4 linked regions of the Rhinolophus ferrumequinum genome follow. The protein of the gene in region 4 purifies or fractionates together with the protein of the main gene of each other region. This does not show direct contact. Links are inferred from orthologs where the notes say so. Each region holds a gene or a part of one and is shown on either strand. Other genes may lie near its edges. The genes, in order: VDAC1, PLEKHM1, ARL8B and RAB7A.

The links.
Region 1: the proteins of RAB7A (region 4) and VDAC1 purify together in Homo sapiens (affinity purification with mass spectrometry; 3 studies listed by BioGRID and IntAct, with this or other methods). This does not show direct contact. The link is inferred for Rhinolophus ferrumequinum from reciprocal best matches to the Homo sapiens genes RAB7A and VDAC1.
Region 2: the proteins of RAB7A (region 4) and PLEKHM1 purify together in Homo sapiens (affinity purification with western blotting; 5 studies listed by BioGRID and IntAct, with this or other methods). This does not show direct contact. The link is inferred for Rhinolophus ferrumequinum from reciprocal best matches to the Homo sapiens genes RAB7A and PLEKHM1.
Region 3: the proteins of RAB7A (region 4) and ARL8B purify together in Homo sapiens (affinity purification with mass spectrometry; 4 studies listed by BioGRID and IntAct, with this or other methods). This does not show direct contact. The link is inferred for Rhinolophus ferrumequinum from reciprocal best matches to the Homo sapiens genes RAB7A and ARL8B.

Annotation. Positions count from the first base shown.
Region 1 is NC_046307.1:10,067,129-10,074,364, forward strand, and holds the start of VDAC1 (voltage-dependent anion-selective channel protein 1), read right to left. Parts: upstream 3,009-7,236; 5' UTR 2,893-3,008; intron 2,808-2,892; exon of another isoform or gene 2,671-2,807; intron 1-2,670. UniProt on the Homo sapiens protein: Non-selective voltage-gated ion channel that mediates the transport of anions and cations through the mitochondrion outer membrane and plasma membrane.
Region 2 is NC_046304.1:40,195,045-40,203,043, forward strand, and holds the start of PLEKHM1 (pleckstrin homology domain-containing family M member 1), read right to left. Parts: upstream 3,010-7,999; 5' UTR 2,912-3,009; intron 396-2,911; exon of another isoform or gene 263-395; intron 1-262. UniProt on the Homo sapiens protein: Acts as a multivalent adapter protein that regulates Rab7-dependent and HOPS complex-dependent fusion events in the endolysosomal system and couples autophagic and the endocytic trafficking pathways.
Region 3 is NC_046300.1:5,006,771-5,013,982, reverse strand, and holds the start of ARL8B (ADP-ribosylation factor-like protein 8B), read right to left. Parts: upstream 3,003-7,212; 5' UTR 2,787-3,002; coding exon 2,664-2,786; intron 1-2,663. UniProt on the Homo sapiens protein: Small GTPase which cycles between active GTP-bound and inactive GDP-bound states.
Region 4 is NC_046302.1:580,159-587,271, reverse strand, and holds the start of RAB7A (ras-related protein Rab-7a), read left to right. Parts: upstream 1-4,096; 5' UTR 4,097-4,321; intron 4,322-7,113.

The sequences.
Region 1 (7,236 bases), on a different chromosome or scaffold from region 4:
CCCCAGCTCCACTGCTGCTGAGCTGTGTGACCTTGGATGCTTACCTCACCTCTCTGTGCTCAAGCCTTCTGAACCATGAAATGGAAGCAACAGTCACTCTCTCCCAGGGCTCGTACGATGATGGATTCAATGTCACAGAACATATGTCAAGCCCCCAGGAGGGTGCTGAGCGTGCATTCAATAAACAGTGACTGTGATGATGATGACACTTTCATACTGGAGAAACTGAGGCACAGGACAGTGACTAGATCTGTACTAGACCCTACGGCTGTGTTGCAAGCTCCATCTGCTCTCCAGGACTCTTTCCAGTACAGTCTGGGTAAAGCGCTTAGATTCCCACTCACCCTCACCCTCCTGAGAGCAAGCAGGAAATGGGAGCATTGTGCCCAGGCCCAGCTGAGGACCCCACTGCTCACCTTTCTTCAGGGGCTACCAGACGAGTCACAGGCCCTGTGAGCCCTGAGGGGCTGCTTGCAGGCTTGCTGGCCCTCAGCCACACACATACCTCTCAGTCTCTACCATCAAAGCTATCACACTGTGAGAGCAACGCCATCCAGGGCACCGTGGACTTCAGCACCTAGGGGGCATCTGACCAGGGAAGGTGGGGGTGAATGTGCCTTGTCAACACCAACTACGCAGTGGTCGTCCACATCCGCCTAGAGTCCCGCCGGACCAGAAGCTCACGGGCCCCGTGAGCCCATGTCTGTGTCTATCAAGAGCCCTGCCTATCGCTTTAGAAGAGCAGAAATAAAACTAATCAACTGAGAGCAGCCCCTGGCCCCAGGGTCAAGCACTTCATTCAGGTCAACTCCAGCAGAAGCCCGTGGCCCATTCACCGTACGAGGGACGAGTTGACAGCCCAAGGCCTTTAGGAGCATCCCAGCCACCCGTGTCACCCGCCCTGCAAACCCAGAAACACTAGTTCAACAAGTTTCCCACAGGACTTGGAAAGTCACAGAATGAAGGTAACGCCTTTGAAGGAGTTATTTCAAATGAGGGAAGTTTCGCCTCTCACTGCTCTAGGGCTGTATAAACCCTGGCAACCTGACTATGTGTGACTCTCTGCTAGGCAAGGCTACTTCCTGGAAGTGAGTGAGATGCATGTGTCCCTCCAAAAGGATGTCCAGGATCAAGGCGCTATGGTCTGGTCCTGCAGTCGCTCCACACGCCCATTCAATAACTCCACAAATCCTTAATGAGCAACTACTATAAGCCACATGTTGGAACAGCAAAAGCTATGTTGTCCATAAGCTTGAGTCAACTCCTAGATAAAAAGCAAAGTGCATGTACCCCACAGACCCTTCTTAAGTACCTACTGTGTGCCAGGTAGCACCACAGGCACCAAAAACAAAGCCACATAGGGCTTATGCCTGAGGGTGTAGAAACTCAGTCTACAGCTAAGGTGGACAGAAAGAAGGTAGGCCCTGGGCAGTCTACCTTGGCCTTGCCAACAGCATATTAGGCAAAGGAGCCCATTTCCCCATCTCCTCTGGAGAGGGTAGTCAAGAGGATAGGGGCCTCAGGTGGAACAGGCCTACCTCTGCACCCACATTCGACTTCCAGTTCCACCTGGATCCTGTCTGTAAACTTCAGGGATTTTTCATGAATTATCATGAAAGTTACTCAATGCCTAGCACACAAATGCTTAATATTACCTAATATGTAAAATATCAGGGGCAGTGTTTTTTGAATCTTTTCCAGAACACCACGTGGAGCAAACCAGTCTCCCCAAAAAGGCTTGTCAAGGCTTCTACCGAGGCTTTCTCCTTGCCAGGCACTGTTCTGAAGGCTTCTTGTCCATCAACTCATTTTATTCCCAAAAACCCAACGAAGGAGAGGTATAATTGCTCCCAACCTATAGATGGGAAAACTGAGGTGTGGTATCCTCCCAGCTGTGTGACCTTGGACAAGTCACTTGGGCTGCGGGCCTCAAATCGAAAGCGGTGAACCAGTTTCGAGAATGCACCGCCTCATTTGGGTAATGAATGAGCGCCGGAACCAGGAACCCCTGCTTAGGCCGAGAGACCGGCCACATCGCTCCGCGGGGCCTCCTTTTCCTAGGCCTAACCTTCTGCCCAGGGCCCAGCCCCAGACCCCGCGGCCTAAGTCAATTCTCCGCCTCCCGTTCCGCCCCGAAGGCGCTGGCACGCGCGGACAGTGTCCGGCGCCAGCTTCTCCGGGCGTAGGCCGGACAGGGCGTGAGGGACTGGGGGCGCCGGGCCATGGTCGCCACGGTCGCCCCGCGGCAACAGCGCGACCTGCATACGTCCGTGGGCCCGGCCCCGCGAGCTTGGGTAACAAACAGGTCCCTGCCCGACCCGCGCTTGGCGGCATCGAGGGCCAGAGGGCGCCGCCGGGAAAGGTCACCTAGACCTGCAGCCGGCCGGGCCTCCACGCGGCGGCCCGTGTCCCTCCGCCCTAAGTCCCCGCGGGCTCTGGCCCCAAGCCGCAGGCACCTCCGGATGCCCGGCCTCTCGCTCCCCAACCCCGGCCCGCTCGCCACCCGCCCGCGCGGCCTGCTCTGCAGCCACTGACCCGCCAGGCCCGCGGGCCGCTCCCGCTCCCTCCCCGGCCCTCGCCGGTCCGTCCCCCATCTCCTCCCCGACTCCCCAGGGACGAGGCGCACAGCCCGGGGCGCAGGCAGAGCCAGGGCCCTTCGGCTGCGCCTACCTCGGAGGCGGTGGCGATGGGCTCGGCGGCGGCCGCGGAGGGGGCTGCAGCGCTGGGAACTGGGAGAGCAGCGGGGCCGAGGGCGGAGCGGCGCGGACGGCGGCGGCGCGGACCCGCCCCGACCCTGCGCGTCCCGCCCGGCGAGCTCCGCCCCGGGGCCCGCCCCGGACACCACCCAGGCCCACGCCGGGTCCCGGTCCGGGTCCTGAGCCCCGCACGCACCTTTCTGCGCCCCTCAGTGCCCGCTGCGGACGCCAGAGCCCACGGGCGTGCGCGGGCTTGCGTGAGGGCCCGCGTGCGCCCGGGCCCGGGGCGGCGGGGCTGACGTGCGCGCGGTGTGTGCGTGCGCAGGAACACGCGTGCCGGCCGCCGGCGCCCGCCAGTCTCTGCTGGAAATCCCGCCGGGTTGACGCATCCGGGATGGGGGGGCGGGGGGCTGTTCCGGTTAACGGAGCGTCGGCCAGGGATCCTCTGAGCTAACGCAGACACGCGGGGTCCTGGACCTCGTGCTCGGCCTTGCGTTTGGGAGACAACCCCTCTCCCCCAGGAGCTGATGTGGCTGGCGGGTGGCGCTGGACCCGGACCCAGCCTGGGTGGACGAGGTGACCGCGGGTACCCCAGAGCAAAGCCAGCGCGGGGCTTTAAATCGGGCTCCCAGGCCCCGATTGGGGATCAGGCGCCCGGGCAGCGCAGATACAGAGTAGCGGCCACGACTGTTACTTCTTCGCTCCCGACACATTGTTTCCGGCGCCGCGGACCCTTCTCTACGCCGGGCCCGGCTCGTAGAGCCCTGCGGTGCCAGGGGGCAGCGCCCAGAAAACCCCTGTGCGCCAAGTTTGCAGTCCAAATTAGCAGTTTTCCCCGGTAGCGAAGCTGCTAGCAGTCATTTTCGGAGCGTTTGAGAAGTGAAAAAAGCAAATTGCGTTTTGCAAGAACATCTGCTGGGTCTCATGGTGCTCGGGAGGTACCACAGGTTACAACCAGCCCATGGCCTCTTGGGGAACCCGGAACCGCGTCCACCCGGGCCCTGCCTCCTCGCTGAGCTCGGATAAAGCGCCTAGAGTCACCCCGCTAGGCCTACGCGGGTGGTCTCCATCACCACTGAGTGTCAACGGCATCCCACGCGAGGGCCATCCCAAGCCGACTTCCCCAAGCCGCCTTCAAGAATTAAGGAATTCGTGGCGTGAAGATTCTGCACAGCCTTCGCCTTCAGCCAATTTTCTTCAAGTCTTGAGGCGTCTAGGGCCCCGTACTCCGGACTACAGAGAGAACACTCGCTCACAACCAGCTGTGGCACAAGTTAAAGGAGTAGGCACGCTTCTGGGGCGTCCCAAGAAGCAATCAGACCGGCTGCTGGAAAGAGTCGGCAAACTTAAATGAGCAAGTGGCAACTGGTGTTCCAATGGAGGCAGCTGTTGAAGAAGGGAGCTTAAGAGGGGGAAGGGGTGCTGACAGGGGGCCCTGGGCTCTGTAGGGGGCTCAGGTCTGATTGAACATGTGAGGAGTTGCCCCTGAACCCCTCGAGGCCCTGGAGAGTAGAGGACCTATGCTAGAACTCTCCCCAGGACCATAAGGTTCTCCATGGCTGACTGGGAACTCAGGGCTTCCCAACCTGGCTGTCCCCACCCCACACACAAAGGCCCCAGCCCACTTTTGGACAGGGTCAGGCAGGGAAAGTCACAAAGTCACCCACAAGTGCAATGAGGCAGTTTGGGAGGACAGGCCTCGGGAAGTAGGGCAGGACCAGGTGGTTCTGTCGAGAGAGGGGATTCTGGAAATCTCACATGATCTAGGAGCAGGTGCCACACCTTGGGTCAGGGAAGCCCAAATGTGCTGCTTAGACCAAATGTCCAAGCTGCTCCCTCCCCTCTACCAGCACCTCCCTGCCAATCCCCCTTCCAGGACCCGCAACCTGAGGAGAGTTCCCCATGCCCCACCTGCTCTGGGTCCCTTCTGGGACTCCCCTACCTGCCGCTTTCAGATTAATCACCTGAGCACCCTTTGGGTCACTTACTGGCTGTGTGACCCTGCACTGTGGGCCTAACCTCTCAGCTTCAACTTCAGGGGGTTGTTGTGAGTTTAAAATGGATTATGTAACAAGTAAGCACTCAGAAAACGGTGAAGAAATCAACTGGGACATAGAAGCCCTCAGACCCTAGTGTTGACCTCTCACCACTGTAGTCCTGAGGGAAGAGCTGAGCCAAGGCAATTTGTCATACCAGGCTTACCGACCCCAGCCCCACCTCCACTCTGGCTGCCACTGCTGATTGGGCCAGGGATGGACACCTGACCTGAGACCAGCCAATCAGGTCCTCTCTCGTAAATTTGAAGTAAGAAACCCAGGTAAGGTGTAACAGTTTTTCTTTGGAGGAATGACCTTTCTCCTCTCAGTACACAATCCTCATGCAGCTGACTCCAGGGCCATTCTTGAGGTAGCCCTGTGACTCACCCTGGCCAATCAATACACTGTACTCCCCTGGCCACAGGGATGGACCAGTGAGACCCAGTCAGACTTCCTGGGGCTATTGAGGTAAATACTTTAAAAATGAACTCGGCCCACAAAAGAGAGACACCAGGTCCTGGGGACAACATGTCCTGGACCTAGCCAGGCCTCACACCACCCTCTGTGCTATCTGGGCTGACAAATTCCTTTTTACTTAGTCCTGTTTGGATTAGGTTTTCTTCCAGGTCCTACCTAATTCAGTTCCACTCCTCCCTTCAACATCCAGAGAAGATGAGATTTTTCTTTTTAATGCTGGAATGGTTGACTGGTGTAAGAATATTTCATTCTAGGGAAATTCTTATATCTAGCTTACAGGCATAACGTTTCTACTATATAGGTATATAGATATTTACAAAGAACCTATGTTGAAACACTTTCCACACTTCTTTTCAGGGCCAGATGTACCTCAATAAGATTTCTTAATACCGTCTTTGCCAAGTAATCAGAACAGAAAGATAAGGTCTATGAAAGTAGAAATGGAAGATGTAATATATATAATTTTTAAAGAGAAAAATATTCTGCTTGTAACCAGCATGAATGAATTAGAATATAAAACTGAATTGTCATAAAACCTAACCTTTCTAACCATATTCCAGACTATAGTCTAGGTAGGAGCTAGGCTTGAGGATGTGTGGTCAAGAATCTCAGGGTGTACTCTCCACATTGTGCCCTGACACTCATCTTCCAGGGAAGGACCTAGCCTGGCCTCCAGGTTCTGACTGACATGGAGAGCAGTAGTCAGCTGGGAAAACAGGATGAAAACCATCCCAAGATGAGCATAATAAAAATATTTCTCTTGCGTACCCCAAAATATGAGGTGTCCTAGATCTAAAATAGTTCCAAGGAGTTCTAATATCATATCCATGTTTTTACAGAGAGAGAGAGAGAAAAGTGGAAAGAAATGCATTAAGTGTTAGAGAAAATTGTGTTTCAATTTAGGAGACTATGATTTTTTTCCTTTGGCCCTTTCTATATTTCCCATTCTATTAATGATACAATACCTTTACTATAAAAAGAGAGAAATTTTTAAGAAAGCCAAACGAGGTTGATCAGGAGAGGCTGTGTAAACTGACACAATCCTGGAAAGCACTTAGGTGACATGTAATAAGAATCAAAACCTAAAACCTACTCCCTCTGACTGTTTCTGGGAACCTATGCTATGGCAATAATCCCAGCCTAGCTTCAGGCAGATGTATAGCAGCCCAGAATGGAACATAGCCTGGTTTCCAGCTTCAGCAAACTGAAGCACATCCCCTCTATAGATTCAGAGCCTTGAGGAAAGAAGGTTACAAAGACTTCCTGTGGGGAAATATTTCTGTTACAATGCTAACTGAGGGCAACCATATATTTAGTATTAATGCAACCACAACATTAAAAATGAGAGAGACAAACCATGGTAGACAGAATAATGACTTCCCATAGATACCCATGTCCTAATCACCCAAACTTATAAATATGTTACTTTGCATGTCAAAAGGAACTTAATAAATGTGATTATATGAAGGATCTTTTTTTTTTTTTTTAAGATTTTATTGAGGAAGGGGAACAGGACTTTATTGGGGAACAGTGTGTACTTCCAGGACTTTTTCCAAGTCAAGTTGCCGTCCCCTCAATCTTAGTTGTGGAGGGTGCCGTTCAGCTTCAAGTTGTTGTCCTTTCAGTCTTAGTTGTGGAGGGCGCAGCTCAGCTCCAGTTCCACTTGCCGTTGTTAGTTGCAGGGGGAGCAGCCCACCATCCCTTGCGGGAGTCGAAGAGTCAAACCGGCAACCCTGTGGTTGAGAGGATGCACTCCAACCCACTGAGTCATCCGGGAGCTCAGCGGCAGCTCAGCTCAAGGTGCTGTGTTCAATCTTAGTTGCAGGGGGCTCTGCCCACCATCCCTTGCGGGAGTCGAGGAGTTGAACTGGCAACCTTGTGGTTGAGAACCCCCTGGCCCATGTGGGAATCGAACCAGCAGCCTTCCGCGTTAGGAGCACAGAGCTCCAACCACCTGAGCCACGGGACTGGCCCCCTGTGTAAAGGATCTTGAAATGGAGAAATTAACCTGGATTGTCCAGGTGGGC
Region 2 (7,999 bases), on a different chromosome or scaffold from region 4:
AGCTCCATTTTATCAACTCAGGCTTAAAATAAACACGAAACAATTTTGCCAATCAGATCTGTAGCCCCAAGTAGCAGAGCCCAGGTCCTTTCCATGGTACCCAAGTTTCAGAGTTGTCCTTTCCTAAATGTTCCAATACACAGGAAGGAATCGTTCTGGTTGTTTTTCTTCATTATGCTGCCCAGCATTCTAAATATATGTCCGATTTCACTTCCTCCAGAGACCAAGGAAGAAAGAGAAAAATAGATTATATGAGACTTACGTTAAAAGAAGAAATGGATGACCGGGCTTCACTGCTTTCAAAACACTCCAGCCATCAGTAAACAGTAACCTCTTCTTAGGCACTTCTCAGCCAGTCCCCACAGCCTCCTCTCTACAGCCTAAACCCAATCCTGTACCTGGCTGTTCAGAACAACAGCCTGGTGTGTAAGGCGTCCAGCTGCTGTACCAACTGATGAGTCATGGTTTTCAGTTGGAAAGAATGACAAAGTTATTCTCTGATTCAGAAAGGCAGCTGATCTTTTAGCCATGTGACTGATGAACGAGTAAACAACACCCCTTCTACCTGAAGAATACTGGATTTCTGGAGCAGTGAGGGGTGGGATGGAGGGGGTGTTCTGGGGGAACTGCCTTTCAAGCAATTGAATATCAGCTGGAGGGTGAGAAACTTCTAGCTTGATTCCCAGACCAAGGGCTAGTGGGTGAGGCAAGAAATGTGAAGTCGATTAACACTGGGTAGCTTTTTTTCTTCCTTCTTTCCTTTTATCCAATTAACACACCGCTCCCCCCATATTCTTGTTCAATATCCTTAGGATTCTAGCAAGGGCCAAACTCTGAATGACTGAAAACACGTACTCTGCCCGACTCATCACCATTGCACTTCTAGTGACTAGAACAGTGCACATAGCACACAGTGGTGGGTGCTAAAAAAATACCTGCTGAATGAACTGATGAATAAAATAAAAATAAGGCTCAGGGCAGGTATCTCCTGTTCACACACTGTGGAAAGTTGAAGTATACAACTCTTCAGTGGGGGAAAGGGGCATTGTGGAACTCCTTCCATTAAATCAAATTGCCAAGAGGCTGAAAAACATTCATCTACATCACACCTTAATGGGGAGATATAGGAGGTAGAAGGGCATTCAATTTTCAAAGGAACAAGACTATAAATAGCAAGCAAACACAATGGTCCTGTTTGGAGCCCTTTAAATTTGCTGTCAAATGGGCAACCCTCTGAACAGGTCACCAGAACTTTGAGGAAATGTGCACCCAATAAACCCAGATGATAAATGCTGAGCATGGGGCCAGGATGCTTCTGGAATGTCCCACTGCCTCATCTACTCTGAGATAACTCGGCTCCCTGTGTTCACAGGAAACCAAGGTGGCCAAAACGCAATGATCCAGACCCTGCAAAAAGAGGAAGCTATTCAACATCCTCCATACACAGCGAGGCCTCAGCCTCCCCAGGACCACTCAGCTCTACTCTTTACAACATGTACATCATCTCTGGCAGCCACCGGATTCCGTGTTCAGTTTGGGGACTAATCTGTTATCAGCTCTGGCGGGGGGAGCACTGGCTGAAAGTCCTCTACAAGTGCCAGGACAACACACATGGACACGGTTCTGGGACCACCGCCAACCCACACGGCGGTACTCCCTGAGTTTCTGCAAGGCCGGAACACCAGCCAAAAGTAAGTGATGGCTTCTGTGGCGCTAGGCTCACTGAGCTGGAGGAGTGGCCGTTCCTCACCTTCCAGGCACTTGGAAGATACCTGTCACTCCAGCAGCCAGCACAAGTAACTAAATACAAATGCTAGAACCATAATCCCTGGGGTTCGGCACAAGGACCAGACACCTAGGAAAATCCCCGGCCCCAAGGGGAATCTCTGCTCCTCCACACTTACTTACCATCTGAGGCCCTGCACGTGCCAGTCAAGGCTGCTCAGTCTCTATCTGCCTGGCTCTGAGCAAGGACCGCGAGATTTGGCTGTTGAAGGGCAGCTGGTGGGGCTGACGGGGGACTCTGCATTAAGTTCTCAGATTGACGCAGACTGGTCAGGGGAGAATGGGTGCCGAGTTGGGGTGAAGAGTCAGAGGTGGGGACAGCAGAGGTGAAAGGACATAAAGACCTCACTTTAAATAAGATTGGGTAAGGGTGGTAGGAACTGGGGCAGCAAAAGTTGGGGGCAGTTTAGCAAGACGTACGTGATGAGGGTTCTCGGGGGGTTCGAGATGGAAAGAAGTGTATGATGGGCCGGAAGTTAGGAGTTGAGTCTGTGAGGACAAGAAGATACATACTTGTAAGACCTGGGACAGGGCTGTGAGCACAGTTATCAAGAAAGGAGTGCGCTCCAAAGGGCATCTACTTTGGCTGGGTCTTAAATGCGAGTGGGGTAGAGGTGGGGTGTCTACAATGAGCAGGCCATGGAGAGCTGAGCAGGGGGTGATGGGAGATAGGGATAAGAAAGCTGATCCAAAAAAGGGCAAACCACAGTGGTGGGTCTCGAGGTTTGCGTGGAGCATTAGGATTGCCAAAGGGGTTGGGAGGTGAGGATGAGCTGAGTTAGAGGGAGGCGGGGGGATGTGGCCGATGGAGGTTGGAACTTGGCTAGAGTGGGGTCAAAGGTGAGGCTGCATTTACGCAAGACCGGTGGTGAGGGGGTGGGGGTAAGGGCTGGAGTCAGGTCATGGGTGGGAGAAGATGTAGCGACGGGCCAGCGGTGCCAGTGCGAGACGAAGGCCAGGAACCGAGTGGGCAGTGGGGGCAAGGGGCTTGGGCTGGGAAGGGTGAGGACTCTGAAGCAGGACAGTCTCAAGGCAAACGGGTTTGGGATCCGGCGAAGGCTGCTGGCCCATCGCCCGTTCGCGTCCCGGCCCCGCCTCCCCTCCTCGCCCCCGACGACAAACTCACCAAGGGGAGCGGGGAGCAGGGTCGAGGTACTCCCGGCCAGGGCAGCACCAAATCCTCCACGGCGGCCTCCAGCCTACTGACAACAGGAAGTGGCGCCCACGGCGCCTGACGCCATCACGTCGGCTCAGTTTCCGGCCCCGCCCCGGCCCGCGGAGCCAATCGCGGAGCCCAAAGGAACCCTGGGGCGGGGCCAGCGCTCCCGCTGCCCAGGCTTCGCAGCGCCCGAACAGGTGCTTGGTCTTCGGAGGCTCGGGACCCCGTTAGGGTACGAGCATTACATCCGTTACACCTGTTACCGGAGAGGCGTGGCCCCTGGCGTCCGACGGAATGCGTCCTCACTGCTCGCTTCCCTTAGGGTCCACTAGATGTAGGTCCAGGGGGGCGTCCGGGGTGGCTACAGGGCTGGCTGGGGAACAAGCCAGTTCCTGGAAGCTCCACTGATCTCTGCCGCGGGTGGCGTGGGGGTGGGGTGCGGGGGGTCCTGTGCTCCATCAGCCTTTCTGGGATCCCAGTGCCTGTTTCCACGTATAAAATCAGCTGTTGGTGTGTGGCCCCCCACTGTGTGGGGGCTGTTGCCCCTTCAGAAATCCTCCAGGTGTGATAACCACCCCTTCTCGGTTTTAGCCTGGATGAATGCTGAGTGCCTTCACTACCGTCGATGGCAGAGCAGGAAGATTAGAAATAAAAACTTGGTGAAATATGAGGGCCCCCGCTCTAACCTAGGCGACAAATGGTTAGGAATTTAACCGTTCGTGGAAAACAGAAGCTCCTACTGTTTGCCAGGTAGGAACTGTGCTTTGTCCTTACCAACCCTGTGGAAGGGAGGTGCCATTGTTGCACCCATAGCACAGATAAGAAAACAGGCTTGAGAGAAGTTGAGTAACTTGGGGGCTCAAGGCCACACAACTAATAAATGGTTAGAAGCAGGATTCTCACCCAGCTCTTTCTGATTCTAGTTGGGGAGGTGGCATAATAGTTCAGTGAAAGCAAGACGCCTTTGGAGCCAGGAAGGCTTAGGTTTGAATCCCAGCTCTATCCCCGGCTGTTTTCTGAGTCTTCCCTAACAGTGGGGGCCCAGGGCAACCCAACAAGTGAGGGGCCAAGACAACTGTCATAGTGTATTTCTTTTTTTTTTTTTTTTTATTTATTTATTTATTTATTTATTTTTATTTTTTTGGGGAAAAATATCCAAAATTTATTCTCCAACAGTCAGCATCAGCAGGTAAAACTACAGGGATCTTTCCATAGATCATACATTCACAAGGCGGTATTACCGTATCATAGTGTATTTCTCACAGGTCCCTTGAGATGGCCTTTAAGATGGAACTTCTCAATTGAATTTTACTGATGTTCAGAAAAGAGAAGTCAAGTCACACCACACATGGCCCATTAGCCTCAGGCAGAGGGGCTCGAGTGGGTGACTGCAGGGAACTTCCCAAAGCTCTCTGAGCCCTAGTTCCTCATCTGTAAGTTGGGGGAAGAATATCAGTTGACACGAGGACTTAATAAGGTAATAGCCTTAGGGCAGTTTTTGGTCTGTAGTAAGCACTGGAAAATGACTGGCTATTATTACAGTTCTGGCAGTTCTCACCTTCCCTATCCAGTTGGGTCCCTGCGTTTTAAGTGCTCTTCTGAGCACTGGAGTGACATCCTTTTTGTTTGAGCCCCAGATATATCCTTACTTGGCATCTGATTGGATTTGTCCAAGTAGTATTAGTGCAACTATCTGTGTCCTTGCGGGAATAGCTGGTGTTCTTCTGGGTTCTGTTGTAGGAGGCTGGTTCTTCTCACGCTCTCTTTTAAAAAATGGATTTAAGAGTTTTTATTACTGTCAATTATACCTCAATAAAGCTGGACAAAAAAAATCACAAATAATGAACTGAAAAACGAAGAAAACGTACCGGATACATAGTTCACAGTTGAAATAGTACTACATGAAATGACGGGGTGATAAAATACAATGATCCACGGCAGTTCCTTGCACCAACCCTTCTGCCCTCTCCAGCCAGCTCATTGGGGCTGGTTATTTCTGGGGGGAGGCTTTTAGCTGAATCTTCTGGTGCTTATCTCTATGTCTCAGGCACTTCTAGGTCTCGATTTAGCCATTTTAGATTTGGTCTACTGAATTCCTAGTAACATAAGCAAGGACTTAGTCCTTTTATAACCTCAACCCCCAGTCCATTCTTAACGTTCAGTTAACTATTACTATTTCCAGTCAGTTAATAGTGTTTACAGATGTGTGACTATGTAAATATTGCTCACTTCTAAGTTTAATAATGTACTTTGTTACATTCATTGTTAATTTCCTCGCCTTGTCTTTCTGTACAGTGTGCCATGATCACACCCTCAGTCCTCCTCCCTTTTCCCTCAGGGCCCTCTCTCTGGGTTCTGTTCTCCAGTGTGTTCTAGTAACCTCCTCAGCCTGTCACGCAGCTGCCATCCTGGAACGTCCCCTCACTGCTTCCTGGGTTGGGCCTTTTCCTGGCTCCCTTCTCTTCTTGCTTTCTCTCTTCTCTCTGGAGCACATCCTCAGTTAAGAATCCCTTTCTTATAATAAAAAACAAAATGGTCTTTGGACCTCCTCATGACAGTAGTCATACCTTACTATCCATTAATTGGGGGGAAAATGCATAAGGACAAAAAATTACCATGAAGGCACAACCGCTTTGAAATGAATTTTACTTACAATAGCATCTATGAACTTGTGAAAACCTGTTAAGAGTTTAGGCTTAAGCGTTAGTTCAAACTATCTTCAGTCTCTGATCCTCCACTCGCCATCTCAATCCCTTCTCTGCTTGTTATAGAAACTCCCTCTTGACTTTTGGTCAGCCTCCTCTGCAACCTGTGATTAAATGGGAAGAAAGTACTGGTTTGAGGCCCTACCCCTGCATGTGCACGTGACTATGGCTGCCCAGTCAGAGTCTTCTTTCCTCAGACACATGGGCCAAGCAAGCCAATCAGAGAGCTTTTGAGAACTGGGCTTTCCTCTAATAAGAGATTTGCTCTCCAGTTAGTGGTGTAGAATAGGAATTATTAATGACCATCTTTGCAGCCAAGGGGTATGAGTCCTCCAGACGCTGAAGCCATCACAAAGGAAAGCAGAGTCGAGGGACAGATGGGAAGAGGATACCGTTGTTTGAGTCCTGGATGCAGCCAGTTTTAAAGTCTTAGGCTTCCTGGTTATATTATATGAGACGATATATACTGTCTGCCATTTTTGGTTTAAGCATATTTTGCTTGGATATATTTCACTTGGAACATAAAGAGCGGTGACTAATATATGGAATTTGTCAACTTGCACAAGTTATTCTCCCCCTCCCACCCTCTCAGTTTCCTTTATCTATTAATTGGGAAAACTACCCTGTTTCCCCAAAAGTAAGACCTAGCCAAACATCAGCTCTAATGCATCTTTTGGAGCAAAAATTAATAGAAGACCCAGTCTTATAGAAGACCCAGTCTTCTAGTAAAATAAGCCCGGTTAGCTGGACATTAAATAGTCCCTTTTAGGGCCTGGAAGAAACAACTTACCATGAATCACTACCCTCGAATACACTTTCCACCCATAGGCCTGCATTTCAGTGGTGACGGTGGCATTCATTAGCGGCTCTCTTTAAGTGATTTTCCTTTAGAGTACAAAATTCACGATGGGCTCTTTCCCCTGTACTAGTGCAGTAGTACATGACTGATTGAAATCTGTCCTTACCGCTTTAAGTAGTGTCTGGCTTTGTTTGTTTTTTGACAAGGGGAGGTGTCCAAGATTAGCCTTTTCTCCTTCCCTCCCTTCTTTCTTTCCTTCCCCAAATCAGCCTTTTCAATATGCATCCCAGGGATGGTTGAGTATTGAGGTCCATAGACCACATCTTCAGAAATTCTATTTATCTATGGATACCTTTTCTCTGGCAGCCCTTTTGAATGGGGGCTGTATTTTCTCCCTCACTATATTGCCTGCAGCCCACCCACTGTTTCACTTCAGTGAGAACATTCCAGAGACCAAACTAAGGATCAACTCCAGGTGTTTCTCTGGTCATCTCTGGAGATGGCTGTATTCCGTCAGCATTCAGTATCTCACCTGCTGCCCAGCTAGAATGACACCTTTCCAAGTCTCCAACTTAGCCAGCTCGCCACCATGTTACTCCATGTAGACACCACCCACCTTTTACCAAGCCATGGACACCTATAAGCCTACAAAAAAAGGAGTAGGGCGCCAGGACCCCTTCAAGTACAGGTGCGTCTCCTCACCATACCTGTGTATGGAGGTATGCTGGCTAGTGTCGGTTGGCTCTTGACACCCATTCCTTCCCCCTTCTCTGCAGATGCTAGATGGCCGGGAAGCACATTTCACAGATTCCCTTGACAGCAGGGTTCTGCCAAAGCAAAGTACTTGTGTGAAACTTGGAAGGTGGAAAGGAGGTGGAAGTCATCCTTTTCTGGTCTGTAGCAGCAGACATGCAGGCTGCATATCGGACTCCACATTCCCCACCTGTCAGCAGCCTTGGCATTGCAATCGCCTCAGCAGTGGTTTCCCAAAGTTTCCTGATTGCTGAGTGGCAGCAGCGACTTTGAATCTGTGGAAAGCAGCTATGGCAAAGGAACCCGAAGGTAGTGGTGCAATTGGCCCACCCCCAACTTTCAGCACCTTAGTTCCTCCGACGATAAGCACCTATAAAATCTTAAAATATATATATATTTTTTTGCTGGACATAATCTAGAGTGGTTTCTTTTTTCCTGTCTGTGGCGGTTTTAAAATATGTCCACAAGTTCTTTGACTCTTTTTTCTTCAAAAGGTGGGGCCTGAATCCCCTCCCCTTGCATGAGAGCTAGATTTAGTGACTGACTGCTATGGTAACTATTCATGTTGTGTAGCGGAAGTGATGCTGTGTAGCTTCTGAGCTAGGTCACAAAAAGGGTAACTTGTGTCTCTGTGTCTGTCTCTTAGATGGCTCCCTCTGGAGGAAGGCCAGCATTGTGTTGTGAAGACATTCAGTCAAGTAGCATGTGGACAGGTCCATATGGGGAGGAACTGAGGCCGCCCTCCAACAACGGGCACCACCTGGACAGCCGTGCCAGTGAGCCACCTTGGAAGTGGGC
Region 3 (7,212 bases), on a different chromosome or scaffold from region 4:
AATATGAATTTTATGACTGAAACTCTCTTTAAGTAAACTGCTTAATTGAAGAATGGTCCAAATGTTACATATATCAGCTTCACAAACCATTTGAGTAAATTAAATAACATGTTATTTTTTTTTTAACTTTTAAGACAGAAGATAGAGCCACAATTTGATGTTTACAAAAGTTGATTTTTCCCAAAAGAAAATTGGCTTCACCTGAAACTTTCATACCTGGGAAGTTACTTGTTGAGTTTTAATAAAAGTGACACATAGTGCTCAACACATCTGTATTTAATCTATAAAACAAACATTTTATACAAAATACAAAGAGTAGCACTATTGATTTTTTAAAAAGATAATGCTAACTTTACTGTTTTGGACACACCGTTTCTATCTAAAAATCTGCAAAAATCACCTTTAATTACTAACCTTTTCCTCATCCTCAATATATTCTATGAGAATCACAGATTAGGTTAGAGTCTGAATTTTAAAAAGTATGAAATTTAGTGGTCTCTTTTTTCCAACATCCTAGTCAACAAATAGGCAACTACAGTTCAGATTTTTTCTTAAAGGAAGCTACCCAACCTCATTAAAATTTAAAAAAAAAAAGAAAAAAGTCTCACGTTAAAATAATAGTGGAACCACTGGTTCACTTTAAATTCAATGGCTTTCCAGAAGTTTTGTTGTTAAAAGTAATCTAATGCAAAGGGAAAAAAAAGGGTGTGTGTTGCCGTGTTACTCGCTATAATCCACAGATCCAGTAATGGAGGCCACATCTGGATGTATACAGAGATTTAAAGAAGAAATGACCCCAGCTAATCCCCTTGTCAGTATTTTTCAAAACACTGCATTAAAGGAGTATACATACCCACTACAAATAGTTCCCATTTACCTAGCCCCTTCTAATGGGCAGGCACCATGCTACCAGTCACTTCACATCTGTCATTTCATTTACTCCTCAGAGCAAGTCTGTAAGAAACATACTATTATCTCCAATTAACACGCCAGAAAGGAAGGACCGAAAGAGGATAGAAGGCTGCTAAGTGGCAGAGCCAGATGGCACAGCCAGGGTGCTCATGACATGAAGCTGCACTGCTCTGAGTTCCTCAGGGATTTACCACACTTTTGTTTGTTTCCCAAGCATAACTACTTCTCTGCAACAAACGTAACTGATTGTAGCAATGCACCTATCTACACCATAAATTAATGCAGTCTTGTCAAAAGGACAGGATTTACAAGGAGACTCCAATTCTTATTTCAAAGGAATATCAGAGAATTTACAGTTAACTGAGCTCATCTGCACTCAGGCGATCTTTTCCATAACCTATAAAAATTCTAATATGGATACTGAGTCCAAAGTTCTCCCTTAATTTCAGCATTAGATACACATTCCACTCTACTACACCTGTTGAAAGGCAGTCATCTCAAGCCAAATAAAATCATACTACAAAAAGAGCCAAACAAGTAGATAAATTTTCTTTATACTTATGTGCGACATTCTTCCAATTTAGATTTCTGCTCAATCTCTTTCCCTCCAAGTCTTACTCATTCCTGTTGCTCCATCACTGCAAGGACTAAGAGTCACAAGTCACACATGTTCTCCAATAAGGGAGCTGTGTTTGAATCACGCCTGTCACCAAACCAGTTAGACAGCTAGTCTCCTAGTAAATAAGAGTCCAGCCTCATCTCCACGGTGGATGAAGCGCTGCCATCTCTCTTGAGAACAGTTCCAAAGCGGCTCAAGCCCCTACCAGCTAAGACTGAGTCACGCAGCTCCTGGGCTGTAAATAAAGACCGACGAGACTCTTTGCATGTTTTGCTCTCATTCCTTCCACAAACAAGCAAAACTTAATAACCATCCTTCCCCTCAATCACTCCTGGAGGAGCACCACGCTGTGCGCGGGTTCCCGGGGCAACGTCCCTCCCAGACGCCCCTCCCGGGCCTGGAATAAGCTCTGCTCCTGCCCAGTCCCTTCAAGTACGAGAGACCCTCACAAACGACCCGCCGCTTCCCAAGGCCGTGCGCTCTCTGCGGACGGCAGACCCGTCCAGTCCCCCGGCTTCAGCCCCGACCACGAGCCCCGGAAGGGCAGGGACCCCGAACTGCCGGGCGTGAACGCCGGGCCCGGCTGTGGACCGGCCGGAAGTCCCCCCCCCCCGCTCGGTGTCGTCCCTGTGGGAACGAGCGGGAGCCCGTCGCCGAGTTACAGGGCACAAGCCGCGCACAGAACTCAGGAAGGTCCGCACGGGGCCTGCGTCCCGAGGGGCGTCTGGGGGGAGACTGAATTCTCCCGCTTTCTCACAGGACCGACGGGCTCCGGGCAAGTCCCCGGCTGGAGTCAACCCTCGGCTGCCCCCGAGCAAACCCGAGGAACCCCAGCGCCCCAAGCGCTTCAGAACCGCGACGAGCCCCAGTTCGCCCTTCCCGAGCCCCGGCCGCGTCGACGGCACAGCCCCGGGAAGGAGACGACGACGTGGGCATAACCCTCCGGCCGCCGACCTCCGCGCCACCCCTCAGCCACCGACACGCGGGAAACTCCAAATCCTGGCCGTCGGGGAGGTCCGGGCACGGCTGCCCCCACCCCCACCCCGGGGCCCCGTCGCGCCCCAGCGGCCCCAACCCGCCCCTCGGGCCGGAGTCGCGGCCACAGCCCCGGCGGGGAGCGGGCGGTCCTCACCGCGATGACATTGACGAAGGTGGTCTTGCCCGAGTACTGCAGCCCCACGAGCGTCAGCTCCATCTCCTCCTTCCAGAAGAGCGAGCGGAACCAGTCCAGCAGGCGGGAGATGAGCGCCAGCATGATGGCGGCCGGGTCGGAGGGCGGACGCGCGGGCGGGCGGGCGGGCGGCGGCGGCGGCTTCCACACGAGCGGGCCTCGGCCCGGACCCCCTAACGGCTCCTCGGGGCCCCGGCGCGACACTGGCAGACACGGGCGGGCGGCGACAGCCGGAGCCAGGAAGCCGAGCGGGTCATATGACTCGCCCTCCCCCCACGCTCGTCCACGCGCCGCCGTCGGCGCCCACGGCAGGAGCGGCGAGGCCGGCCGGGCCAGGCTCGCCCGCCGCCTGCAGCGCCACCTGGTGGGATCTCCGCGCGGCACCGCGTACCAGCGGGCCGGCCTTGGGTGCCTTTTTTTCTACCACGCCCTCCTGCGCTCATAAATGTGTTAGTGAATTCATCATTCATTCTTTCTACAATTGTTTATTGACAGCCTACTCTATGCAGAAGGAGTTCGAGACGGGGGCGGGGAAGGGGGGCGGCGTTCAGCATAAAAATCCCTGCCCTACATTTTTGGTGATAGCCAAAGATGGAAAGCCAGGTGTTTAGCAATAGGGAGCTGATTAAATCAAGTATAGTATGTCAACGAGGCTGGTCTCTGATTTATAAACCGATTTGTAATGAAGTCCAGGAAATTCTTTCAAGAAACATATATGTAAAGTGCAGACTATGTATATAATGATATTTTTGGTGTAAGTTGGGAAAATAAGAATGTATATGTAAATATATGCAAATGTGTGTACTGGAAGACTAATAAAAATGTTTTCCTATGGGGGTCGAGGAACCTGTATAGCTGGAGGCAGGAATGGGAATGAGACTCCTCTAGATATCTTTTTATATCATTTTGACTTGCAACCATGTAAATGAGTTGCCTGTTCAAAAGTTTCATTTAATTGAAAAGTAAACAAAAACATCTGCAAGGTTTTCAGATTTAAAAAAAATCTCTGCCCTCATGGAGCTCACATTCTAGTGAGGAGACATGTAATATTTCCATATATATATATATATATAGTAGTACTGAACTTTATAAAGAGAACCAAACAATAGGACACAGGAGTGTCTTCTGCTCTAGTTAGGGTCAGAGTAGACCTCTGGGAGGGAGTGGTCCTGGTTTGGGAAGAAGTGAGAAAGAGTGTCAGGTGCACGCCTGGTGGAATCACCTTCCAGACTGAAGGAACAGCAAAGACCCTGAGGGGGAAGGAGCATGGGATGCTCTAGAAATAGAAGTACAGCAGTGTGGTTGGCTCAGATTAATAAGGCAGGGCGTGGGCAGGATGTGGATGAAGAAAGAGGCAGGCACCGAATCAAGGAGGGCATAGTGGCCCTAGATTGATTTTATCCATGCTGTGCTGGGAAGCCAGGAGATTGAACCAATTTATATTTTTAAAAGTTCGCTCTGGCAGCTCCATGGAATACGCTAGGAAGCTTTGAGGTTTGAACTGTGTTCCCCCAAAAGAGATGGAGTCCTAACCCCAGGATCTTGTTTGGAAATTGGGCAATTGCTATCAGTTATGGTCATACTGGAGTAGGGTGGGTCCTTAGTCCACTGGTGTCCTTATAAGAGGAGAAGAGACCCAGACATGAGGGGAGAAGGCCATGTGGCAACAGAGGCAGAGATGGAAGTATTGCAGGTGCCAGCAAACCACCGGGAGCTGGGACAAGGCATAGAACAGACTCTCTCACAGTCTCAAAAAAATCAACCTTGCCGACACCTTGGTCTTGGACTTCTAGCCTCCAGAACCCTAGACAATAAATGTCTGTGGGTTTTTTTGTTTTTAGCTTTAAGTTTTTTGTTTTGTTTTGTTTTGTTTTTAAACAGTCTGGTCCCTGATGGCCTCTCCGCTGCCCCTCCCCAGCTTGGCTACAGTTCTGAACGTCGCTCGATTTTGAGCAGTTCCACCTCGAACACCAGGGTTGCACCACCTGGAATCGTTGGGGGGGCTCCCCGCTCTCCATACCCCAGCTCTGATGGGATCACCAGCTTCCGCTTTTCCCCCTCACACATCCCCAGCAGCCCCCGGTCCCAGCCCTTGATGACCTGGCCCGTGCCCAGGGAGAAGACAAAGGGCTGTTTCTGGGGCAGGCTGCTGTCAAACTCCTTCCCATCTTCCAGCTTCCCCGTGTAGTGCATGTGCAGGACATCCCCCTTGCGCGATTTGATCGCTTCTTGACCCCGATCTGCAGCTTCCTTTTGTCCTCGGCCCCCGCGGCTGTCGCCAGGGCGCTCAGGCAGATGGACAGTACTGTCAGGACCCAGTTCAGCCTCATGTCCCTCCTCACCGTGCCCCCGGAGTCAACCCAGTCGTGCTTGTCTGTGGTTTTAAGCCACCCACTTGTGGTCCTTTGTTACGGCAGCTCTAGCAAATTCATACAGAGGGAATGAGCAGAGACAGTGATAGGTGAGGAGGCTATTGTATCGCTTTAAAGGATGATGGAATCTGGGACCTCGACTTTGTAAGCACTTCGACAATTAATGAGTAAACAACTAAACGAGCTAAGTGCAAAGTGAGAAATGGAATATTCCTCAGCCTTTACACTCACTGTAATTGCCTTCACCTCTAAAATCATTAGTTAATGGAAAGTGACTTCTCACCTCCAGATTCTAGTTTCCCACTTTAAAAACTTTAAAATTTATTTTTTTATCATAAAAGCACGCAATATGATGGTTGTAGAAATTCAAACAGGACAGAGGTGTGATAAGAAAAAGGTCATCCATCTCTTGGCACCCTCAATATTCATCTCTGAAGTAACCCATTTTAATAGTTTACTCTTTTTTGATCAAATAAACACATGCACATACATGGGGTGGGGAATTTTTGCATATATACCAAAATAAGAATATGTTGTAGGAATTATTCTACAGCTTCCTTCTTTACTTAACTTGTAAAGATGTTTTATTAAAGGCAATACTCAAAACTCCTCATTTTCTCGTGATTTTACTACTAATTTTGCTGTATGACGGCTGTGCAAGAAAGATAAAATTTCATGGCATCGGAGCTGGACGCATCCTGGAAGACCATTCTCATTTAGCTATCAGAAAACTGAGGCCCAGAGAAGGAAATATCCCAATTAGGAACCTGATTTTAAGTGTAATCTCCTTAAGGACAGGGGCCATTTCTACTTGGCAATAAACTTATTTTGAGTAAACGAGTCGGTCAGTCTGGGGATCCTGAAATCTCACCTCGTAGGCACTTGTTTTGCTAGCTTCATTTTTGGACAAGGAATAAAATGGGTGTGACACATTCCGTAAGTTCCCACTGGCCTGATTATCAGCCTCCTAGCATCTTAAAATGCCAGCACCTGGGCCTTACCCACGAGACACTTCTGCATTTTGGCCAAGTCAGTCACGGGGCCGGAATTTTTCATTAGCCATGGATGTCACTCCAGGTCATACAGATGACCCGCCCACATCTGCAAGGGGCAGAATGTCAGTTCTGTCTTTTGGAAGGAGAGTGTTGGCCTCAGGAAAAGAGAAGCAAGGCTAGTTAGGGAGTTCTCTTTAGAAGGAACATGCCTCTTTATTCTAAAACTGAGATAGTCAATCCCATTTTTTTAAAAAAAATTAAGGACTTTTAAGAAAAATTTAAGAAACTAAACATTCTTTTGAAGGTAGAAAACAAATATTAACTGCAGTGTGTGGGAGTGTCAAGAGCACTGCCAGGAAGGAAAACCCTTATCTTGAATAAAAAGTTCATATCCTGGCTTTAAAAATGAAATAGCTGTGTGATCCTGGGCAAGTCACTTCCCCTCTCTGGGCTTTGGTTTCCCTATCTAGAAAATAAGGGTTTGGATAAGATAAAATTTAAGAACCTCTTATCTCTGGGGGAATCAAAGCCACAACCTTGGTGTTAAGAACCTCTTATCTCTGAAATCTTATGATTTCATAGCAGCTTGACTGAAATGTTCAGGAGTGGATTCCAGCATGGGAAAGGAAATCATTCTCTTTTTGAATAGCCTTTTTTTTTTTTTAGGGGAGTTTAAGTTTTATGGGAAAGTAAGCAGATATAACCCTCTTTCCCTCTCACAGCTTCTCAAATTATCTTTGTTCCATTTGTTCCAATTCATGAACCAACATTGCTACGTTATTATTAACTAAAGGCTACAGTTTACGTTACTGTTTATTTTTGTGTTGTACATGCTATGGGTTTGGACAAGTGCATGATGTCATGTATCTACCCTTACTGTATCATACAGAATAGGCCATACAGCAGGCCTTAAAAATCCCCTGGGTTCTGACTATTCATCCCCGAGATAACTTTTTCACCTTCAATAGTCCATGATTTTATATATTTAAAAGAAACAAAGAAACATCGAATGACTGACACACACACACACACACACACACACACACACACACACACACAACCTAAGAGTCATCAGTGGAGCTCAGAAACATCCACATGGCCATTTGACAGTGGAGAAAAGTGTCTAAAGGCTGTTTGTTTGTT
Region 4 (7,113 bases):
TTGGTAAATATATTTTATAATTTTTTAGAATCATGTATTTTCTTAATAGAGTATAAGGCATTTTTTACGAATAGACCCACACATTTTTATTTTTCTGTATTAAGAAGCCCAAAGTAGGTAAACTTAGATTCCCTTAACAATTAATGTTTCAGTGTTTCATCATACTTGGAAATAGATCTAGATATTCAATCATTTTTATCTTTTAATTTATTAATTCCCAAAAAAATATATTTACATTACTCATAAAAATTTTATGAGACATTAAACAGAGCCACTTGTTATAACTATCTTCCTGTTGACAAACCCTATAACAGAGATAATATGAACTTTTTTTATAAACCTAGATAAAAATAAAATATTAGATGTTAATAAATTTAAAGACATGTCTGTTTTCATTAAACTAAACAAGTTAGTTTCAATATTAAATATAGTTTCAGATCATGTGATCCTGAAAAATATGTGGGTTAGTTTCTGTTATGCTTCTTAATCTACATAAGTGCTTAATTTCTTTAAGCCATTTAAACAGAGCTCTTATATAAACTAATTTTAATAATTTCATCAGAGGTAGATATGAGTATACATACACATATATGAGGTCTGACAATTAAGTTTGCGAACTCATCCTAGAAAAAGTGCTACACACCTCATTGCTGAGTATCACTATGGTCACCTTCGAAGTACTCCCCTTGGGAAGCTATGCACTGATGCCAGCGCCTAGTCCACCCTTCAAAGCAATTTTGGAATTCCTTTTTCTGGAATGGCCATTAGAGCTGTCATTGTATTACCCTTGATGTCCTGAATATCATCAAAATATCTTCCTTTCAATATTTCCTTTATCTTCGGGTAAAGATAGAAGTCATTAGGGGCCAGATCAGGTGAGTAGGGAGGGTGTTCCAATACAGTTATTTGTTTACTGGCTGAAAACTCCCTCACAGACAGTGCCGTGTGAGCTGGTACATTGTCGTGATGCAAGAGCCATGAATTGTTGGCAAAAAGTTCAGGTTGTCTAACTTTTACATGCAGACGTTTCAGCACTTCCAAATAGTAAACTTGGTTAACTGTCCAGTTGGTACAAATTAGTAATGAATAATGCCTCTGATATCAAAAAAGTTAGCAACATCATCGCAACAAGTTCGCAAACTTAATTGTCAGACCTCCTGTAGACAGAGACATACAGAGACCTGATAGTTCAATCTAAAAAATTTAGCCATGAGACAGGTTTATAAGGCTAAAGAGAAAAAGCCATTAATTTATAACAGTAGGAATAAGTTAAGTTTATTGATCAGGTGGCTAAGGCTTTAAGATTTTCATCTCTCTTTGATAAACAAGTTTTAAGGAGACTGTGGGCAGGGCAGGGGTCTGCTTGGGAAAGGGAACCTTTCAGCAACTTGTATTTTTAAAAAGAGCTTTCTTTTCCAATTTTTTCTGTCTTTTTTGGGGTTAGTTGAGGCAGCTCAGGGTTGTGTTTACATTTTTGGTTATCTACTTCTACTTCCTATCAGACTTTTACTTAAAATTTCTAGGTATAGAGAGTAATCATCCATCAGGGGAAGTCATGTAGATCGGGCGATAAGGAGGGATATGTGGCAACAGCTGAAGGAGCATTTGATGGGCTTTGAAGAGAAGATGGTTTAAGGAATTTTGAAAGTAAGGGAGGGACGTTGCTTACACACGCCTTATCTTCTAATTTCTGGAGGTATTAAGTTTAGAATTATTTTCTTGGAGGGAGGCAATGGTTTTCTTCTGCTTTTGAGGCCTCAAAATACCAATTAAAGAAAGCCTCTCATTTTCTTTGGCGGTTTTGAAAACCTTGGCATTTGAATTGAGATCTCAAATAAGCTAATTTGGAAATTTCAAAGGTACCCCATTTTGGCCAAAAAATGTTTAAAATTGTCCCGTGTAATTGTTGTCCAGAGATTAAACCATTTCCAGCTATCAGGACGACAAATTTTTTTTAACATAAATCTTGTAGGGTTGCTGGATGGCGGCTAGCCAGCAGAGGTCATTTTAGAACTAGAATTATTTACTATGTGAAGGCGTCCCTACCAGCATAACTTGAGAAGATTTTTATCTAATATTTTACGGGTAACTCAGACTCTTGTGACCCCTATGGGGGCACCTCGTCCCTCTATGAAAAGCCTTATAAAGGGGTCCTTCCCTTAAGAATAAAACTGTCAGAATAAAACTCTCAGATCTCAACCAAAAGCATAGGGGGATGGAGGATTTGAGAGGACTCACCCATGCATGCTTCCCCACAGTGGGGGAAGGCAACTTGAGCTCAAAGAGCTTTGAAGGCAAGCGTAATGTAGTGAGTTCCACAACAAAGGGAGATTAGGGAGCTGCTTCAAATCCCATCTTCATCACCATTCATGTAAACAAAGTCCAGAGATACCTTTTTCCAAATAAATTTAGTTTATTCAGATAATGACTTGTAAACCAGGAAACATAGCTCTTGATGTGAACCAAGAATACATTCCAAAATGGAGGGGATAGGGCAGGGTTTATAAAGGCAAAAGTTGCAAGCTGTTGATCAAAGAAATGGGTTCTAGGGGAAACAAGACCATAAACTTACATATGTTTTCTGATTGATGGGGGCAACTGGACATTCATTCAATGGTTGGCTGACTCAGTGATCAAGTAAGTGGGGTTGTGAGGTGAGAACAATAGGTAATATGTGGTTAATCATTTATCGAGTCCTCGTTTCAGCCCAGGCCTGTAGAACAAAAAGGGTGTCTTTGATCACACATTGTATGGATGAAAAATGCGGTTCTATGAAAAGTAACCTCAAGGGTGATCTGATTATAAATTCCCTGTTGGGCAGGTCATGAGGGGTAGTCATACCCCAGGCCTATATGTTCTTTATTGAAAGGTTTTAAGCCAGCCCTGTCCATTGTTCTTGTGCATCTAGGTTAACACACCTTTTAATGCCAAAAGAATACCCCTTAAAGGGGGTATTAATTCTCAAGAGAGCTTGTAATCTTGTTAACTATCCTGCAATCCAATCCTCAATATGCTTTCTGCAGTCTTCCCTACGTCCCCTCCTTAATTTCAAATGCATAAAAGAAGTTGCAAAAATGTTATTTTCCAGAGCATTTTAGATCTTGCTCCCTGGCATATGTAGTTAGGCTCAAATAAACTTTCATAAAAATTCTCTACAGGTTTGGATATTCTTACGTTGACAATAGTACAGGGAGTATTATTCATCTGATAGCTACAGCAGTACAATCAATTGATACAGGAGTACAATCAAACAATACAATCAACACAAGGGGGCTGTTGGCTCTGCAGGCCCATCTGGAGCCCAGAAGGGCAACGTTATGCCCTGCAAGCAGCTTCAGAGCTCAAGCTGTAAAAATCCAAATATTGCGCCACAAATTATGAAATTAATATTCTTATATTCTTAAATCCTCGCTTTTCTGCAAGAGAAAGTGTTCTGTTAATGTGTAATTCTCCTGTGTCTCTACCACCTTGCTAGATCATTGGTGCAGTCATTTCCAGTTTACTAGAAAGATCAAACACATTGGTATCAGACATATTTGGTTCACATCCCTGCTTTACCGCTTAGTGTGAGCTAGGTCCAAGGTTACCTGTGCTGGGTCTCAGTTCTCTATTTCCAAAATGGTTAAAATAGAGACAATCCAAAGGTGTAGTATGGGTGCACAATAGGTGCTCAGTAAATATGGATGCCCTTCCTCTCCCTCTGTAAATTTGTGAAATAACTACTGCCTTGTCTCCCTGGGAAAACCCCCTTCCTAGAGCAAACTTTGTTGATGCTGAAATGTTCGGCACACAGGCCTACTTGGTTGACTGATCAGTGTCTCCTGGAAAGTGACACTAATGGAAGGTTCAATTTATCCTCTCTTTTCTTCCCCTAGCACTCTTATTCCAGGGGAAAGGGGGATGACTGAAACATCGGTTTTGGGGTTCAACATAGCGCCGTCCTGCTCCTTGCACGAGACTCAAAGATGGCGACAACCTTCCGGGGGCAGACATATTTGTAGCACGTGATCCAGGCTCAGGCCAAAGGAGGCCGAACGTGACGCGGGGTTAAGGCGGGGCTCCTCCCCCGCACCCTTGGCGTGTAGCGACTCGTGACAGGTACTTCCGCTCGGGGTCGCGGCGGTGGCGGAAGTGGGAGCGGAGTCAGATTCTTGGCCGTAAAGCCTGAGGCGGCGGCTGCGGCGGCGTTGGAGGTTTAGAGAGCGCCGAGCAGGCCTTTCAAACCGGAACTTGGACTTCTCTGCGCCTGTCCTCCCTTGCGTCTCCTCGGCGGGAGCCCTTGTGACGCGCCCAGCCCGGAGCCCCCAGCGGAGCGGCAGCGGTAAGCAGCGGGCCCAGCCTGGCGTGTGGCCCAGCCCCATCCCCCTCCTCAGCCCCTCGGTCGCCAGGGCTTCGCGTCATCCCTTTCTTGGGTAGGCTCTGGGCCCAGCCCCGACCTCGCGGGGAATGTCCTTGTTGCTAAGGGCCCAGGAGCAGGCCCGGACCGCTCCTGGCCGGGGAGAGGTCAGAGGTTGCCGAAACCGGCCACCCGGGAAGGTGTCCTGACTTGGGTGGCCGCTGGGCACTGCGGACCCTGTGCTGCGGCGAAAAGAGCTAGCCGGTTGAGTTCGTTCGAGCGGCGAAGTGGAGGATGTCAAAGCCGACCCCCCGGTGCCGTGTCTGGCGGTGGACGCGATCCAGGCGCCACCAACCGCGCGGGCATTGGTAAAAGGCGCCCAGGGCTGAGCCACGTTCCCATCTGTTTCTTCAGTTGAACAGCCTGACCCTGTTAGTGAGAGAGGTTTCCTGACAGCAACTAAATCAAGGCAGTGAGTCAGGTCACGTGCACTGGGCTCGCTTCAAACACTTGTATACATGTGATACGCCTTAGGCTCTGGGAGACGGGGAACTTTTTATCATAAACTTGTTAATGGCAAATGCTGAAAGAAATTTTAAAATTATATTGTGGGAAAGGTGGTGGTTGACTGTAGAGCTGTGTTTGAATTCCAACCGTCTCTTACTCCATACTGATTCCAAAAAGTGGGAAAATCGAGAACAATAATAGCAAACATTTGAGCCTTATTGTATGCTGGACAGCCTGGCAAGACCTTTGCACAAGTTGTTATGTTTAATTCTCAGAACAACCTTCATAAAACTTTAGTACATAGGTGTCCAGCCAGTTGGTTCTTTCCTGTTGAAAATACTGTATTTTCTCTTTAGATTTCAATAGAACAGGCTCTTGTCTCTTCCTTAAGCAACTGATTTAGTCAAATGACTTCTCATCCATGGATCAATAAAATCTATTAGTGTGTTTATCTTTTCAGACTTGGGAGAATTTGTTCAGGTTTAAGTCCAAGAACTGGAAAGTGAGATTGTGAGTACTTCTGAAGACACTGGCCAAAGAGTAAAGCTTAATACTCGCAGCCCTATTATATTCTACTTTTTGTTTTAACTTTGCCACCCAGCTTGTTATATTTAAGTGGGTGATAAGTATGGTAGCTTTAAATAATATTTGGTTTTAGGGGAGAGTAATGATGAGCACCTTTTCATTCATTCATCAAATGTTTTTAGAGTACTGTTCTTCCCCGAAAATAAGACCTAGCCAGACCATCAGCTCTAATGGGTCTTTTGGAGCAAAAATTAATATAAGACCCGGTCTTATTTTAATATAATAATTAATATTAAATTAATATTAATACTAAAATAAGATCGGGTATAATATGTAATACCGAGTCTTATATAATATAATATATAATGCTGGGTCTTGTATTAGTTTTTTTTTTTTTTTTTTTTTTTTGCGTGTTGATTTTTTTTTTTTTTAAATTTATTGGGGTGACAATTGTTATTAAAATTACATAGATTTCAGGTGTGCAATTCTATATCACATCATGTATAAATTACATTGTGTGTTCACCACCCAGTGTATTAGTTTTTACTCCAAAAGAAGCATAAGAGCTGATGGTCCGGCTAGGTCTTATTTTCGGGGAAACACGGTATCAGGCATTGCTGGATATTGACTCAGGGAGAAAGGCATTTTTCCTGTCCTCAAGGAATTTAAAGATGGTGAGTGATCATGGTCTGGAATTGTGTGGTGGAATGGTGGTAGAACTTGAGGCTTTTGGAAAGAGGAGTTGTTTCTCATTTCTCATCCCTGCAAGTGAATCTGCAGTTATCCAGACAGTCTGGTGTTCTGGCTAACTTGAAGGCTTTGTTACTTTTAACAACGTTTATATGGTTTGTTTTTGAAGAGAGTATGGAAAATAATATTACGTTTTGAACTATCATTCTTTTGAAGAGTAACCTTCGACACTAAACTTATTTCTCTTTTTGGTCTGGTGGCATTTTTTGTTCATGCAAGAGGGAGTTCATGTCACTGCCATTTTACACTGCAAATGTTAGCTGTTGCATGCTCTTTGTGCAAAGGTACATTTGGCATGCTGGATTTTTCTTCTTCAGCTGATGAAGAAAGTTTAACGTAGTGCCTATCAGTCATAGTACCAGTATCATCCTAGGTAAAACCTTATGCCATCTATGTGCCACAACTGTTATGGCTCCCTTTCTTTAAAAGGGGATGTGAGTTTGCATTTGTGGTAGAACTGCATGAGTAAACAAACAGAAGGGTGGAGTGTAGCAGAAGGCATTCAAAAAAACAGGTTTTTTAGTATATCCTTCCAGGTACTTGTTAGCAACCACTTGGTACAAATTTTTTTTTTTTTTTTGGGTGCCAACCGGGCATAAGTCCCAGCCTCATAATCAAAGGGCATTGCTTTATAGTCAAGTGTGGCATTGAATCCAGTTCCTGACCCCACAGTCAAGTGCATTAAAAAGGTTTTGGTTATTTGATTAGCTTTTAATAAATCTCCGAAGAGATCTGCACTAATAATATTTTCACCCTTACATTAGACGTTAGCCTTCTGATGCAAAGGTGTAGCAAACCCAGACCACACATCTATGACAGTCATCTTATGTACTGTTCCTCTCTGAAATTTGACATGTTTACCATTATTCCTGGGATAAATTGTCTTCACTCTCCGTCTATATAATTCAACACATATGGCTAAGAAGGATTTGACCAGATATTGGGCTGGGAGTTACAGATGCAAAGTCTTCCATGGAAGTAAAGAGAGGAGTCCT